Neodiprion lecontei: one gene and its partner. Each later gene encodes a partner of the first gene's protein in a complex. Links are inferred from orthologs where the notes say so. Each region holds a gene or a part of one and is shown in the gene's direction. Other genes may lie near its edges. The genes, in order: E3 ubiquitin-protein ligase Hakai and N6-adenosine-methyltransferase non-catalytic subunit.

Region 1 (7,722 bases):
TAGACATTTTGCACTTTCCTTAAACAGTTGAGCCATAATACTGATGCGATGGCGTAGAAAACAGAGCAGAAACAGTAAAATGATCTGTAATTTTAATACAATATTTTGAGTAGGCAGATAACAATGTTCACCATTTCATTTCTATATTCTGGTGGTAAATTGGGTTTCTTTTTTTGTTGTTTTCCAATTCATTCGTAAACTTTATCCAAATAAAAATTATCTTTGTATAACATAAATAATTTAACGCTATTCTACGTCGTTTTGGTGCAAAGATTATACACATGTAGAAAAGTAATGCACAAAAGAATTCAGTGTACAAATATTACCAGAAAAGGATTCTACATCTCATGTATATCTTATGTATCGTCTGGGAATGAAAGGGTAAATTTCTCTAACCAACTACTCCAGACTAGATAATTTCTCTAAAATATGAAATTCTGATCTCGTTGACAAAAAATTGATAAGGAAGGTTAAAAACGTACAGTTAGAATAGTTGCTACAATTGAATAAATCAGAAATGCTTTTCCATTGCGTACGGACTCTTCTAATAGCTCATTAGGATTTGTTTCATCCAATCTAATTTTGATACGTATGTATGTCCACCACAGCAAACCGGTACCACCTAATTTTGAGGAATATAATGATAAGTATTAGATAAAGATGTTTAACTATGCAATATAATTCGTTCGCTGTTTTCTTTAGCATTTGGAAAAATGATTCACACTGTTATTTCGCATAATAATATTAAATTGCAAACTTCATATCATAAGCAAACCATCAAGTATTTAGATTATTCTATGCTTGCATTCTATATATTTTTCGACATGTTAGAAAACTCACCGATACAGGATACTGTGACTAGGATCATTACTATCCAGCTCACGATGCTTGCCAATAAATGGAATATAGCGATCATGAACAAGGACAACACTGAAATAGAAGAAAACTTTTGTAAGAAGAATTTTTGTTAATTGAGAATTTTATATCGACCCTATGGATTATTTTGTAGTAAAAAAAGTAATTATTTACCAAAAGCAAGAAAAGATAAAGCAACAATTTCTCTCCAAGTTTTATATAAATCTCCTAAAATTTGTTCAATTGCATCCCATGAATTGATTAATCCATAAACGTTGGAAGCTATAGTCTCTGCAACTTTCCCTATAGCTCTTGGAATGCAGCGATTCAGTATGACAGTACTATTATAAACAGGAAGCACTGGGCACGCTCCGGTCTTATCTTTTGAATTCTGACTGGTGCATGCGCTGAATTTACTTCCTGGTCTATCATGACACAGCTGTGATCCTGTATCTTTATAGAACTGGCAAACCTGTTCCATTGTTTCCATGTTACGATCCGGGCATTCTTTAACACAGATTTTCAACGAGTCCTTCAAATTTGCCACATCCAAGAAGAACAAGTATCTATAATATCGATTTCATGTTATTATACATGTATTTCATTTTACCTCAATGACACTTCAAAAATATCACCTTTATTAAGCATTTTTTATATACCACATATCGTCTAACATAGTTACGTACGATTAGTTGTTTTATATTTATACTTGTGTGATGCGATTACATTTTTAATGAGTGAACATGTAATGGATTCCCATGATAAGATAACTGTGGCCAAATAGTACTTCAGTAGTAGGCAACTATTATGTGGTTGAGCAACATCCGCGGAAGCTCATTGCAAGGCATGGGAAACGGGTGCAAAAATTACTCGTGGGATTCCAAGAACAATACTATTTTAGCAGTGAAAGAGTCAGCAAGTGAGAATAACTAATGCAACAAACAATGATTCAATCTTTCTTTTTATTTTGTGTTAAATTTTTGAGAGGTGGCCAAAAAGAAGGATCAATCGTTAGTTAACAGTCTTTTAAAATTTAGCATCCGTACTCCTAACCCTTTACATCTCAATGCTGAAATTTTCCAAGGTTGAAGACAATTTTTTATAATTTACCCCATAAGTTTTCCTGTAGAACTGGCAATATTCAAATTAAACAATAGTTTTAGAACTTTCTTTTGTAATAATTAAAAAATATAGTACTCACGGTTTATCACTGGTGTCTTGCCCGGACAGTTCCATGTTCCCAAACTTCTTGTTGTTTTTTACACCACATGTATTGTCAAAGCTATCAAACCCATTTATCAAACGAATTGGATTACCATAAACCAATGCAAATGCAGCTATCAATATCTAGAAAAATTAAATACATATTGCATATAGTTTCGTATTAACTTTACTCTAATTTAATTTATAACCCTTAAGCAAATATGATTTTCCAAATAATTTAAACCGCAAGAAAAAGACATCTGTGATACAAGTAATACGTTAATTTTTTACTCTCAATTCAATTTTGTGTTGCGTTTTTTCATTAATGGATTATTTCCTACAGCTGAAATTTTCGTAGCATAAAATTTCTGTGTGATTCGACACACAAAAAGAAGTTATGGTGAATGCCGTTGTACAAGTAGAGTTCACTTGTAAATTTACGTAGAATAAGGCAATCACGAAGATGACATAAAATTAAAGGGGAGCACAATTTTGCAACTAGGCAATTAATACCTACTTTCAATGAAATACTCATTAAGGAGTAATGTTAATAAAATTGCAAATGGACCTGGATTACTCTTAAAATTTGAAGACGACATTTAGCCAGCATGAAAAATGTTTACAACATCGATTTACGTATTGTAATACTAAACAGAATTAATTTAATTAGCTTGTCAAACGTCTGATTAGATTCTGAGTCACGTGCTAATTACTCTTGTACAATGAGAAAAATGACTTACTCTCGGCAGGTTATACATACCATTAAAAACCAAAACAGAATAAAAAGACATAACCAGAAAATATCCGTACAGCCGCGGACCCGGGTAGGTTCAGGGCGTTCGTCTTCGTCGTCCCCACAACAGCAAGACATTTTTTCACAACCTCTGTATCGTGCACCAGAAAATTACAACGCCCATCCGGCTTTGACGCCTCTTGACTTTAATCCCGAGCTCGCCTTCGGCTAGTAAACTAACTGCCAGCTAGTGGCAGCCGCTTGCCTTTGTTGTTGACGAATGAAGATCGTCACTCCGCCCGGACGCGTTCCTGAACTATTCTTGTTATATCACTTGTTGTGTGTGTTATATCGAATCACATTCCATTTGCGCGTTATATCGTTGCCGTGGCAACGAAAACAAATCGCATCCGGCGGGATCAGTGAAGTCGTTCGCACTTCGCCGACTGGCTGTGTTGGTGTTCAATCATTGTCAGTTTCATTTCGAACTCGTGTGCGTACGGAGTGTAGCATACGCGAGGTTGGTTAAGCGACATGAACGTAACATGATGTTATAAAATATTTTCTGTTACAAAATCCAACCTTTGTAAACATTTCGTCCAGTATTTTAAGGTCTGTTTTTAAAAAATATTGTATTAGACGGATTGTGGATGATAGGATTCGCTTTGAACTTCATTTCACATCGTACTGTCTCACTTATGTCTTCCATTTCGAACCTAACCTAACACATGTAAGCAGGTTATCACTAGTTGATGTTCAGAATTATGGGCAACCGAACTGATAGTGCATTGATACTTCATTCGTGTTGTTTTAGTTATGGAGGAAGATGGTGCCAAAAGAATGAGGGGCAGAGCACGAGGGAGAGCCCGTGGCCGTCCTAGGGGACGAGCTAGGGGCCGTGGGAAAAAAGCTGTCAAGGTGTTTATTATGAATAAAAGATGACTGAAAAAACTGGTATACGCATAATCACCTTCATTATAACTCATAATCCCCAGATTATAGAAAGTGATGAAGATGATGTGCCACAAGCGGCTGAAGAAACTCCTATGGAAACAAGCGGGGTGGAACCTGAACAACAGGAGCCTCAACAAGCTCAGCAACCACCAATCGAGCAACAATTTGATCTGGAAGCTGATATATCACAGCTAGAAGCTCCGACCTTTACAACTATAAACCGAGGACCTCCCGAACCAATGTTACGTCTTCGTTGGGACCATAGAGTAAATCTTATTGGAGAAAAGGTCTTAAATCCGATGATTCATTGCTGCGACAAGTGTCTTAAACCGATCCTTATTTACGGACGTATGGTAAGGGTTTGATTATGAGCGAATTTGACAGTATTTTTTTTTACTCATTTAAGGAAGTGATGGGTATCCTTATAATAATCAGACCAAAATTTGACTCATTCGTTTGTTGTCTCATTTGGATTAGATACCTTGCAAGCATGTGTTTTGCTTGTCCTGTGCTAAAAGAGAGGATAAAGTCTGCCCAAGGTGTATGGAAAAGGTTTCCAGAGTAGAGCAGACTGGGCTTGGTACAGTGTTTATGTGTACTCATGGTGGAACTAGGTACGGAAATGCCGGATGTAGAAGAACCTACCTAAGTCAAAGAGATTTACAGGTTTGTTTGTTTACAGTGATGCGAAGGCAGGACTCAAAATGTTCTTTTCCAAATATTTAAGAAATACCAAGTAGGATATATATTTTCTTTCTCAGGCTCACATCAATCATCGACATATATCAGCTCCTTCTGCGCCGGTTCAAGGATTGCAAGTTGACCAGCAGTACTTGCATTCTAAACCAGAAATGGATACACAAATGACAAAAATTCCACCAGTTTCAATGCAAACTAGTAGAATGAAACAGGTTCAATCTCACATGGTTCAGCCAATAATGGGAAATGATCCAAGAGTTAATTCTATGGTGAATCAACAGCAGGTTGAACATCGGCAACAGCAACACAGACCGCAGCCTATTATCCCTATGCAAAACTATCAACAAAGCTCTGCCCCACCTCCTACCAATACGCCGATGAGGACGAACCTAATAACTGTACCCATCCAAGATACCACTATAACTACACATGACATGCATAATCAGCAAAATCATCATTATTATCAACCTCCTCCTCCTCCGCCGCAAGTGAATTACGGAGGCTACAACGTACCTCCTCCTGTTTCACAAACGCAACAGTACTATCCTCAGCCGCAGCATCCGTCGCAAGTCACCTACGCCCCACCACCTTCGCAGCAGCAGTATGGTCCTTCAAGTTCGACTGCAATAAGACCACCTGCAACCTCATACATGCAAGAACAACAGTACGGTCCTCCACCTCCGCAGCAACAGGCACCTCCGCCGCAACCTCAGTGGACCCAACATCAACAGCAGTTTTATAGATAGGAATTGAGTCTTTTTTCTTTTCTGCTCATGTACGGCACATAGTCAAAATTACCGCGACAAGGTTTACCGTTTAGAAAAAATATGTGTTAATAAAGTTTGAGTGACCTACCGCTATCCACTGTTCAATCTTATAGATGCATTTTTCCTTTGCTTTGCGAATGTGTGTACTTGTATTAATATCAAAAAATGACGTTTCTATATACGTACATTACTTCTAGTATATCAAAATCGAGTACACTATAGATTGACTACGTTTACACTTTCATATTTTTACAAGTATTTTAATAGGCTACTAGTGAAAAAACTATCTGTATAAGAATTGGTTGTATTCTATTTTTAAATGTTATTTAAGAGCACCTGTACAGAATGGCGCAGTTTTTTTGATAGTTTGTTTTCAGGTAAATTACGATATTTTTGTTTTAATTATATTGGGAGCTGAATATGTTTTTTAGTCAAATCGAACAAAAACTCCTGCACTACATACACATTCTCTTATAGTTCGAGTTTATATTGAGTAATCTCTAGCCTAAGAGTAATAATTTGTACCTACTTTGCAAAAAAGTAAAGAAATTGTAATCAGAGAGATATAATATTGTACAGAATGACAGGATGCAATGTATTTACAAAATCAATTATATTTAACATTTAAATATATTATATAATATTACTTAAGTTTCTCATCATTTTACCTAGCGAATGTTCATTTATTCATGTAGTGTTACCCCAGCCATATACTTTGCAACGCATTGAATTGTATTCTCACTCAGCCTCCACACGAATCTTTGTTGATTCCAAACATAAAAATTCTTTAGAAGTACATTCCAGCGCTGCATAAGTATCAGGTCAAGATACTTCATTTTAAAACTTTAATAGTTTCTGAAGAACTCATTTATACTATGCATAAAAATAGTTTTTCAATTTGAATCCATCACAAAATTATTTCGTGTTATATATAACATGTCCGGGTTTCTTGCACCTTGATCCCATCGTATTTATTTTCACGTGCTTATGCTTTGGTTTTATCTAAATCATTCTCTTGGACACATAAGCTGGACATAACAGTGCACTTCAGAGTCCGAACGAATCAGGTCACCCGTTTTCCTACATACAGGCAAGTCACAGAACTACAACTTGTAGAATTCAAAAGTTGTCTCTTGTGCAGCGATAGCTTGTGTAAGAACTCCCAACAAAAGTTCTTGTATTATTATACACACGTATAACTTATTACATGATAATTCTTTTGCAGGAAGACAGATATAATCTTTAAAAGGCTGAAAAGAAAAGTGATGAAATGAATCATTTGGGTTTCATAATTATTATCCTCGATTGATGTAAAAGAATAGGCTGATCTCAATGTATTTGTCCATCCTCACTTACTATGAGTTACGGTAACCAGATGCATTTCTGTGTTACTGTGCATTGAAACGATCTTGTACTGATAATTGGAGTGTGAGGTTACTGAAATGCTTGAAGTGCAATTCTAACTGTAAGAGAATTGAGAGACTATATAACACGGTTGAAGTATAATTTTCTGTCAAACAGTCCGTTAAAACTTACAGCAACATTTTATAATAAAGCCACGTTAATCGCAAAATCGATCGTTTTCTCATATGAACTTTGTAATAGAAGAGCAGCGATACTACAAAGTATAGCAGGAACGTTAAACTTTCTAAGCTTGTGTTTTCCAACTCGTATTAGAACACGCTTTTGATTTTAATGTAGATCTTCGAAATTCATCGACATCTACAATAATAAGAGTTTAAGTTTTCAATGGAAGTCCAGACATGAAAAATTCTCTGACATTATTAAGGTTTTCATCAGGTTTGATTAATTTCTTTGTAAATTCTGTGATTTTCGAATTATTGTGACAAGTAGAGGTCACGCTATATTTTGACTGTGCAATTATTCAGTTTACGAGATTCAATCTTCTCAATGGGATTTTAGGATACACATAAAAAGAATAACTTTGACTACAAACTTTTCACTTTGTATACCAAATCTTGCGCATATGAGATCATTTTGCAAAACCTTTGCCAATTTTTACAATATTATTGAAATCAGTCAATTCTGGATGATCACGTGCTTGTGGACGGGTGATTGTGTATGTTTACACTGGTCTGAGGGATTAGCGGAGACGCCAGTGGCTTTGGTGTCGTTGATTCGGGTATTGGGATTGATACAGCTGGCGGAACAGGTGAATGCTTCTTACTTCTATCTGGTTGCCAAGGTTTGGCGTGATCCTTACTTAACCTCTCACTAAGAGCTTTTAATGCTATTTGTCTGAAAACAAACATAGAAACAATAAATGTTGAGAGTAACATTTCTAACGTATAATTTCTAACTAATTCATATTTATGTACAATTTCGAATTTTTAATAAAATTTTATAGTATAGTTTGGTTTAAAGAAATGCATGACAAGGCAATGTCAACTTAGTACTATTAATTCAAGTGTCTTTTTTTCTAATACATACCTACGTCTTTCGCTATCGTGAGGATCGATTCCTGGTAAGCTAATTACCAAGCCTGGAGGT
Region 2 (7,381 bases), on another chromosome or scaffold:
TTATGAGATAAAAATCAGCAAGTATAAGAATGTTATTGAAATGAAACCGCTTCGCCTTCATCGCAAGACTTGCATCGATTTCCATATGATTTCCAACGCTTGCTTTTCGTTTCTTCAGCGCTATCCGCATGTGATTCCACACCAGGAGTCGCAATGATGTTCAATGACTTTGAGTCAATTTTTACGCCTCTCTATGTGAAAGGATATTTCAGTTATGTGACAGCGGTGAGAAGCAAGGTGATTCATTTCTCACCTTTGATCAACGATACGACGTTTAACAATTCAATACACTCGTTATCTATCAACCGATATACAACCTACCGCGCGGCGTAACAACACTTTTTACGTTTCCGGTTTCCGGCCGGCCACCCGAATTATATTCGTAGGCACAAAAGAACCTGGAAATATTTCTCAATTTTTCGTACACGAATTACGAAAAATATCTTTATACCGTTTAAGGAAATTGCCGGTGAAGCGAAATTCAATACCTCTGTAATAGTTGACTTGATTACAAGATAGTCAAACATTGAGAATTCACCAAATTTCTATATATTTGTAGGATATAGTGATGTTCGTTAAGCAATTCAAGAAAAACAAATTGTCGTTAGACATCAATTGTTCATTTCAAATCAGATTAGGTTAGTTAAACATCTAATAGCTTCGTTTGATTTCGCTCCACGTCTGGGCTTATTTTCGTAGAAAAACTTATACATTTCACAGATTCACTGAAACGCTTCTTGTTTTGTCAAAAGTAAATTCAATGTTGTTCGTTGTTTTTTTTTTTTGTCCATCAAAACCAGTATCAATGCAATCTTATGAAATTGAATATCGACCTATACCAACATGACAAGTCAAAGTGTCTCAAGCACGTTCGTGGAATTGTAGAGAAGGGTCATTTCAACACAAAATAAGCCATCGTGGAATGAAATCGAACGAAGCCGTCAGATTTCTTCTTCGCAGTAACGTTACTAACTTCATGCTCATGAGTAATTACGCTTTCGGTACCAGGATGGTGTTCCAGTCGGTATTTACCTCTTCTACCATATACCTTGTGAATTATTCTTATACTACACAAGGAAGAATTCGGGTTGGAATGAGTAACCGGGTCTTTTAAATAAAAACACGGCAGTTGCGCTGGCAAACTAGCAACGGACAACAACTTGCCGAGGCATAAAAACCCTCACGGAGTAGAGGGGAAAAGCCCGAGCAAGCCAATGAAAGATAGTGAACTTGTTCAACAAATCAAGTAAAATCCAAGTACGTGAAATGACGCACAAACCACTGCAAGCCGGAGGCTTAATTTCCAACTTATGTTAAGATGTCACAATGAGAATGATCATTCGCTTAGCTAAAACAATTAAGAGAGCTCTCTTACCTACAGGATGGGACAGCCCTCGGGATGTCGTAGCAATGTACGTCAATTGGAGAGGAATGTAAACGTCTTGGAACAAGTCGCGGCAGGTGCGCGTCGGAATAACCGGGACCTCCACGAAACCAGTTAACAGAATTTGCAAATTCACAACACTAGAATGACAACACTGAGAAATCACCAGACTTGATATCTCTCCGTTCGCAAGAACCGTCCACTCCGATATCTTTATACCGTCTGGCCTGAGTCGAATGCTTTCCAAGTCCTGACCGTAGGCCACCCTTCTCCACACCGGTGCAAGGGAAGGCAACTCAGGCCTTTTCCGGAAGGTCCCAAATCCAGACGCTTTCTGTCTGGGTTCCGTTACTTTCAAATAATTTTACAATTGTCCTTATTGTCCAAATTGACACCGTCTGGGAATGTAAGGACTAAGCTTTATTAGACCCGTCGCGGTCAGTTTCAGACCCCTGCGGCCTTCTCCAAACCTGCCGATCGAACCATGGGGACCTCCATGCCACCATATCGAGCGCGCGAATATGCGATTATAAGACTCATAAGTAAGAAACGCAAGTGAAATGAAATGGACGAATGCAATAAAGCTAATTAAGAGGCGAAATCCCTTTGCTCTACACTTTACAACGTGGAAGCGCACTAGGCGCGACGACCTTGAGCGTGCGGGCGTTCGGTAGCGGTGAATTTTAAGGAGAAAATATCGAATGATTCAATTTCAGATGACAAGCAGTATACGTTATATACATAAATATCAAAAAATTGCGATTTATTTTAAAATTTATGGGAATATATAAGAAACTTCGCAGTCATTACATTTATACCACTAATTTAGACAGTCAAAGTATAAGGACGAACAGTATAAACTAAATCCACTTCGAAAATGATATTTCCGCAATTATGGAAATAACAGTTTGAAATGCATACATACATACTTATATCGCACATCACATTACTGTTTATGACAGTCATCTTCCGCCCTGAAAGAAATACTAGAGGACGCCAATTATAATGCACTTACAATTAACTACTTTTCCTGCAACCATGCTTATTATAAAAGAGCGGCTTACCGTTTTTGAAGAGGTACGACATAGCCGCGCAGCATTTCGTCCCATAAAACGTATTCATTCATTTTACATCACATGTGTCGAGGTCCGACGAATTAATAAGCGCCCGTCACAACAAGACTTGATGTTATTTTTTCACTCTACTCGCCTAAACACATAATGAATTTGCGACTAGCGCTTTATTTATTATTACACTCGCGAGTTTGAATTGCACCGGAAGTAATTGCATTCTCACGATTCACCGCGGCGTTTGATAAATTACGCAATTCATTCGGAGGTCGACAGTTCCGAATGTAAAGAGCAGACGAAGGAGCGAACTACGGACAACGGATCGCTGCACCCCGCATCAAACTATATATGAAACTGAATTTACTGAACCCCCCGATGCAGTTCTGAGATCCAATATATGTCATGCATTCTTGGAAATTAATCTAGTTCCGCTCTCCGGTAGGCTCCGCCACTTGGCAGCACAACAGATTGCTTGTCAGCTTACGTATGGGTGTATTTTCGGCCACCTGCTACATGTCGACAATTTCGTGCCTCTGTTCAGTTTTACTTTAGACAATATTTAAAATAACAAGGAGTTTATAATGTTGCAGACACTTCGAGAGCGCTCTAAAAAGCGAAAGAAATTATTGGCTCAAACGGTGAGGACACACTTCTCGCTGATCAGTCAGTCTAAAATCGTGTTTCTGATTTTGAGGTTATGTCTGATGTAAACACGTTATAATTTGTAATATTTATGTTATTTTCAGCTTGGGGTTTCGAGCGTGGATGAGCTTAGACAAGTTTTGGGTACAGACATCAATGATGCACAAAGGAAACGTGAAAAAATGTCATCTGTCAAGTCGGATGACGACCTTAGAGAACAGAAGGATGACACAGTGTCAACCAACGAAATAGTCTATAAAGATTCTTCTACGTTTCTTAAAGTATGCAACCTCTTAATACTATCAGTTTTTTTTCCAGTGTTAGTAATTGAATAATGTTTAAACAAAAAAAAAAAAAAAGCAACCCTCTTTGTGTACTTTTAGGAAAACGCTCAGAAATTTGTAGTAAACTATATTTCACCCACTCTTGCATAACTTTTGTATTAGGTGTAAAATCAGTTGTAACTTGGATTCACATTCATACCAAATGATACCCTTTTCTTCAATCAGGGAACACAATCCTCAAATCCCCACAATGACTACTGCCAACACTTTATCGACACTGGACAACGCCCTCAGAATTTTATACGAGATGTAGGATTGGCGGATCGATTTGAAGAATATCCAAAGTTGCGAGAGCTTATTAAACTTAAGGATGACCTAATTTCAGACACTGCAACTCCCCCCATGTACCTGAAAACCGATCTCCTTGCTTACAATCTGAAAGAACTAAATTGTAAATTTGACGTTATTCTCATTGAGCCACCTCTTGAAGAATATCAAAGGACATGTGGAGCCACAAATGTACAACTTTGGAATTGGGATCAGGTTAGGCATGGTCGGTAATGAATTTTTAGTAAACCTGGTCAACGCACCTTTAACTAAGAGTCATAATAATTTTTTTCCAGATCATGGAGCTCGACATAGGCGAAGTAGCGGCAAGTCGTAGTTTTGTATTCCTCTGGTGTGGTAGTAGCGATGGATTAGACATGGGTAGATTTTGTTTGAGAAAGTGGGGCTTCAGAAGATGTGAAGACATTTGTTGGATACGTACGAATATAAATAATCCTGGACACAGTAAAAATTTAGATACTAAAGCAGTTTTGCAGAGAACAAAAGAGCATTGCTTAATGGGAATTAAAGGGACTGTACGAAGATCTACAGATGGTGATTTTATTCATGCAAACGTAGATATTGATCTGATTATATCTGAGGAACCTGAGTACGGATCTATCGAGAAACCTGTTGAAATTTTCCACATTATTGAACATTTCTGCCTAGGCAGAAGACGGTAAGTACCATGCAATTTCCAAAGATCTTCGTTAAACCCAAATCTCACTTCTTGTTGCTAGCAAATGAGATTATTATATCTTCCCTACTATTTCTTTAACAGATTGCATTTATTTGGGCGTGACAGTACGATCAGGCCAGGCTGGCTTACAGTGGGACCAGAATTGACTAATACGAATTTTAACACTGATCTGTACACTAGCTATTTTGCAACTAGCCAGATCACAACTGGATGTACCGAAAGAATAGAAGCACTCAGACCCAAATCTCCACCACCGAAAGGAAAAGTCTCTGGCAGAGGGAGGGGTGGTTTCAATCGAGGTCGGGGGAGAGGCAGATAATCTGTAATTCCTAATAGATTACAAGTTTTTAACGATTATCGACTTGAACGCACAAAAATATCTCATGCCGAATACAAAAGAACAATTTTTTATCAATTAACCTATTTATGACAACATGCTACATCAACTGATAGTGATGCTGCTCAATAGTATTCTTTCTTGTTAGTTGTTTACAAATGCATACTGTACGTTTCTGAATCAATAAAGTGAATTTGAACCTCTCATATTGGATAATTGTTTTTTTTTTGTTCTTTAGTAAGTAGGTATAATTGCATTACACAACCAAATTCTGTTTAACAGGGTTTGAAATATCTAAAAATGTGTATCAAGTTAACGGTATTAATCATCGTGAATTCAATATCCGGCTGTTGCAATAGCTGTACTTTGCTCTGTCTGCTTGGACTCAGCAAAACACTGTCGTTACTTCATGTTCTTAAGAATTTGTCATTGTCATCGACTGGTCATAATACTAATAAAATGACTGGAGAAAATGCATGGTTAAAAGCCTACATCTTTTACCATTCCAAAATTGCTGTATTGATTACGAACTAAAAAGAATAAAGTATTTTCTTGAAATCATAAGTCTGAAAATTATTGATCAAATTCGTTTATTTAAATGCGGAGTTAAAAATTAAAATATAAAATTCTCTCATGTTAGATCATAAATATAACGCTAGAGATGCAAGACGCCAATAGAAACATAAGGATGAACACAGAAGAATAAAATAGATTCCAATGACGTAAACCACCGATAGCTCGATGCTGAACAAAAACTCATCTCCAAGTTATGTTTACGAGATATAACCGGCAAACATATGTATAAATATGCTTTTCCTAATACTTCCACCGGTATCGTGCACCTTCACACTAAACTTGTATGTTATTCAAGTATGTTCTGCAAATGTGCATCGACTGCTCTCTACACCATTGCAGGAACATTACCACTAATGTGTTAATCTACGAAGGGAAAATGAATAAGTTATTTTCTGAACACAGAAAAAAATTATATTATGTGTCTAACAGCGTTTAAACACATATGATAGTCTGGATGGTATTGCACCTTCCTAGAATTATCTATGTGTAGCTGTGTTGGCAATACAGCCAATATTGGCCTCGAATATTCTGCTTACACAGAAATAATTTATAGATTAAGAAAAACAAACTACATATTTGTATTCCTTCGGGAAAGAAGAAATTTTTATTTTTTAGTCTATGTGAGATCAAGTCAACTTGTTTGTACTCTATAGGTTGAATTGAACAATACGGTAATATGAAAATAGGTAATTCATAATAAGTATAAATACTTGATTCACAGCTCTCATCTGTTATTAATATGGATTTACAAACGAGTACTTTGGGAAGAATCTGACAATATGTATCACGAATTACTTTCAATGCAATAGAGATGATCGGTATTTTGAGACTATGTATCTTGATTCTGTCAAAGTTCTGAACTCCTGCAATTCGTCTGATAAATTCCACTAATGAGTAAATTCACAATAACACATAATTCATCAGTATTTAACGTAGCTAAATTACATTGAGACAATTTTTTAAACAAATCGAGTGCAACAAATTATTATCATAGATCGAATTAATTATTAATGTTATAACTGAGTTCAGGTATTTTCTATTCGATGAGGTAACGTTTTCATGTTTCAGTAAAATTACAGAACAATTCTGCGAACCAAACCTCGATAATTTGTTGTAACATAGTTGTGAAGTAAGGCAAAACTTATCCCAAGTGGCATTCGTTCGCGTAAACAATTTCAGCAACATTTTGGCTTACTTCATCAGTGAGTAAAAAGTATATTAAACACTACATATACTAGATTTAATTATTAATCTATCGGTTGACACAATAAAAGAGACGTCATTATTTAAAAAAAAATGAAAAATTATGTAATCAAATATCAATTCGAAGCACACTGTTTCACGTATCATATTATGAAAAAGCAGCGCAATTGTGCATATTTCACTGCAGGTATATTTTATAAAATGGTCCATTCTACTAACAAAACGTGAAGGATTCATAGAAAAACCTGCGCAAAAATCAAGATTGGTATAAAAATATACGACGAGTTTATATAACTATGCTGTACAGTGTATAATAGAATTCTAAGAGATGTCTTCAAAAAGATACAATTGTAACTTAGCTTACTTTAACTTAAATTAATTGTATATGCTAATTGAATTTTTCTAAATACACACAATTGCGCAATTGCAGCTTGAATGAAAGAAATTTATAACTCGATGTCACGTAATTAATCGACGTGACGATTTTGTGCTACTTGTTTATTACATGTAAGGACTGAACTGGGGGAGCTGTAATTATGTAGCCGTCGTTCATGACTCGACTTGGCAAAAAATAAAATCTGTCAAGCCTGAATATTGCAAGAAAGTAACACCTAATTTTACTATAACACCCTTGCACAGACGATAATCAACTGTTAACAATAACACTTTAAAGCATGATCATTTCATATTTGCATTGCGCCACTGGAAACATATCACATGGCCATGAATGTTTATCCTAATCAGATACAATAAAATTCATTAAAATCGTCGTAATTGTGAGCAGTCTAATAAGAGCCTATGAAGAACAACATTTGTTTATGTGAAAATAGTTCCCGTACCGAATATAAACGATTCCTA

The links.
Region 2: E3 ubiquitin-protein ligase Hakai (region 1) and N6-adenosine-methyltransferase non-catalytic subunit share a complex: the UniProt entries of both Homo sapiens proteins name them as parts of the WMM complex. The link is inferred for Neodiprion lecontei from reciprocal best matches to the Homo sapiens genes CBLL1 and METTL14.

What each region holds. Positions count from the first base shown.
Region 1 is NC_060263.1:32,455,688-32,463,409, forward strand, and holds E3 ubiquitin-protein ligase Hakai, read left to right. Parts: upstream 1-3,267; 5' UTR 3,268-3,403; exon of another isoform or gene 3,404-3,521; intron 3,522-3,605; 5' UTR 3,606-3,607; coding exon 3,608-3,709; intron 3,710-3,786; coding exon 3,787-4,098; intron 4,099-4,222; coding exon 4,223-4,411; intron 4,412-4,506; coding exon 4,507-5,190; 3' UTR 5,191-5,857; downstream 5,858-7,722. Other genes in the region: choline transporter-like 1, read right to left, coding at 1-84, 483-622, 841-930, 1,030-1,421, 2,057-2,202, 2,819-2,929; transmembrane protein 115, read right to left, coding at 7,266-7,470, 7,663-7,722. UniProt on the Homo sapiens protein: E3 ubiquitin-protein ligase that mediates ubiquitination of several tyrosine-phosphorylated Src substrates, including CDH1, CTTN and DOK1. Targets CDH1 for endocytosis and degradation.
Region 2 is NC_060260.1:28,912,619-28,919,999, reverse strand, and holds N6-adenosine-methyltransferase non-catalytic subunit, read left to right. Parts: upstream 1-2,895; 5' UTR 2,896-3,035; coding exon 3,036-3,092; intron 3,093-3,200; coding exon 3,201-3,377; intron 3,378-3,605; coding exon 3,606-3,923; intron 3,924-4,003; coding exon 4,004-4,386; intron 4,387-4,488; coding exon 4,489-4,726; 3' UTR 4,727-4,950; downstream 4,951-7,381. Other genes in the region: protein bicaudal C, read right to left, coding at 2,449-2,493. UniProt on the Homo sapiens protein: The METTL3-METTL14 heterodimer forms a N6-methyltransferase complex that methylates adenosine residues at the N(6) position of some mRNAs and regulates the circadian clock, differentiation of embryonic stem cells and cortical neurogenesis.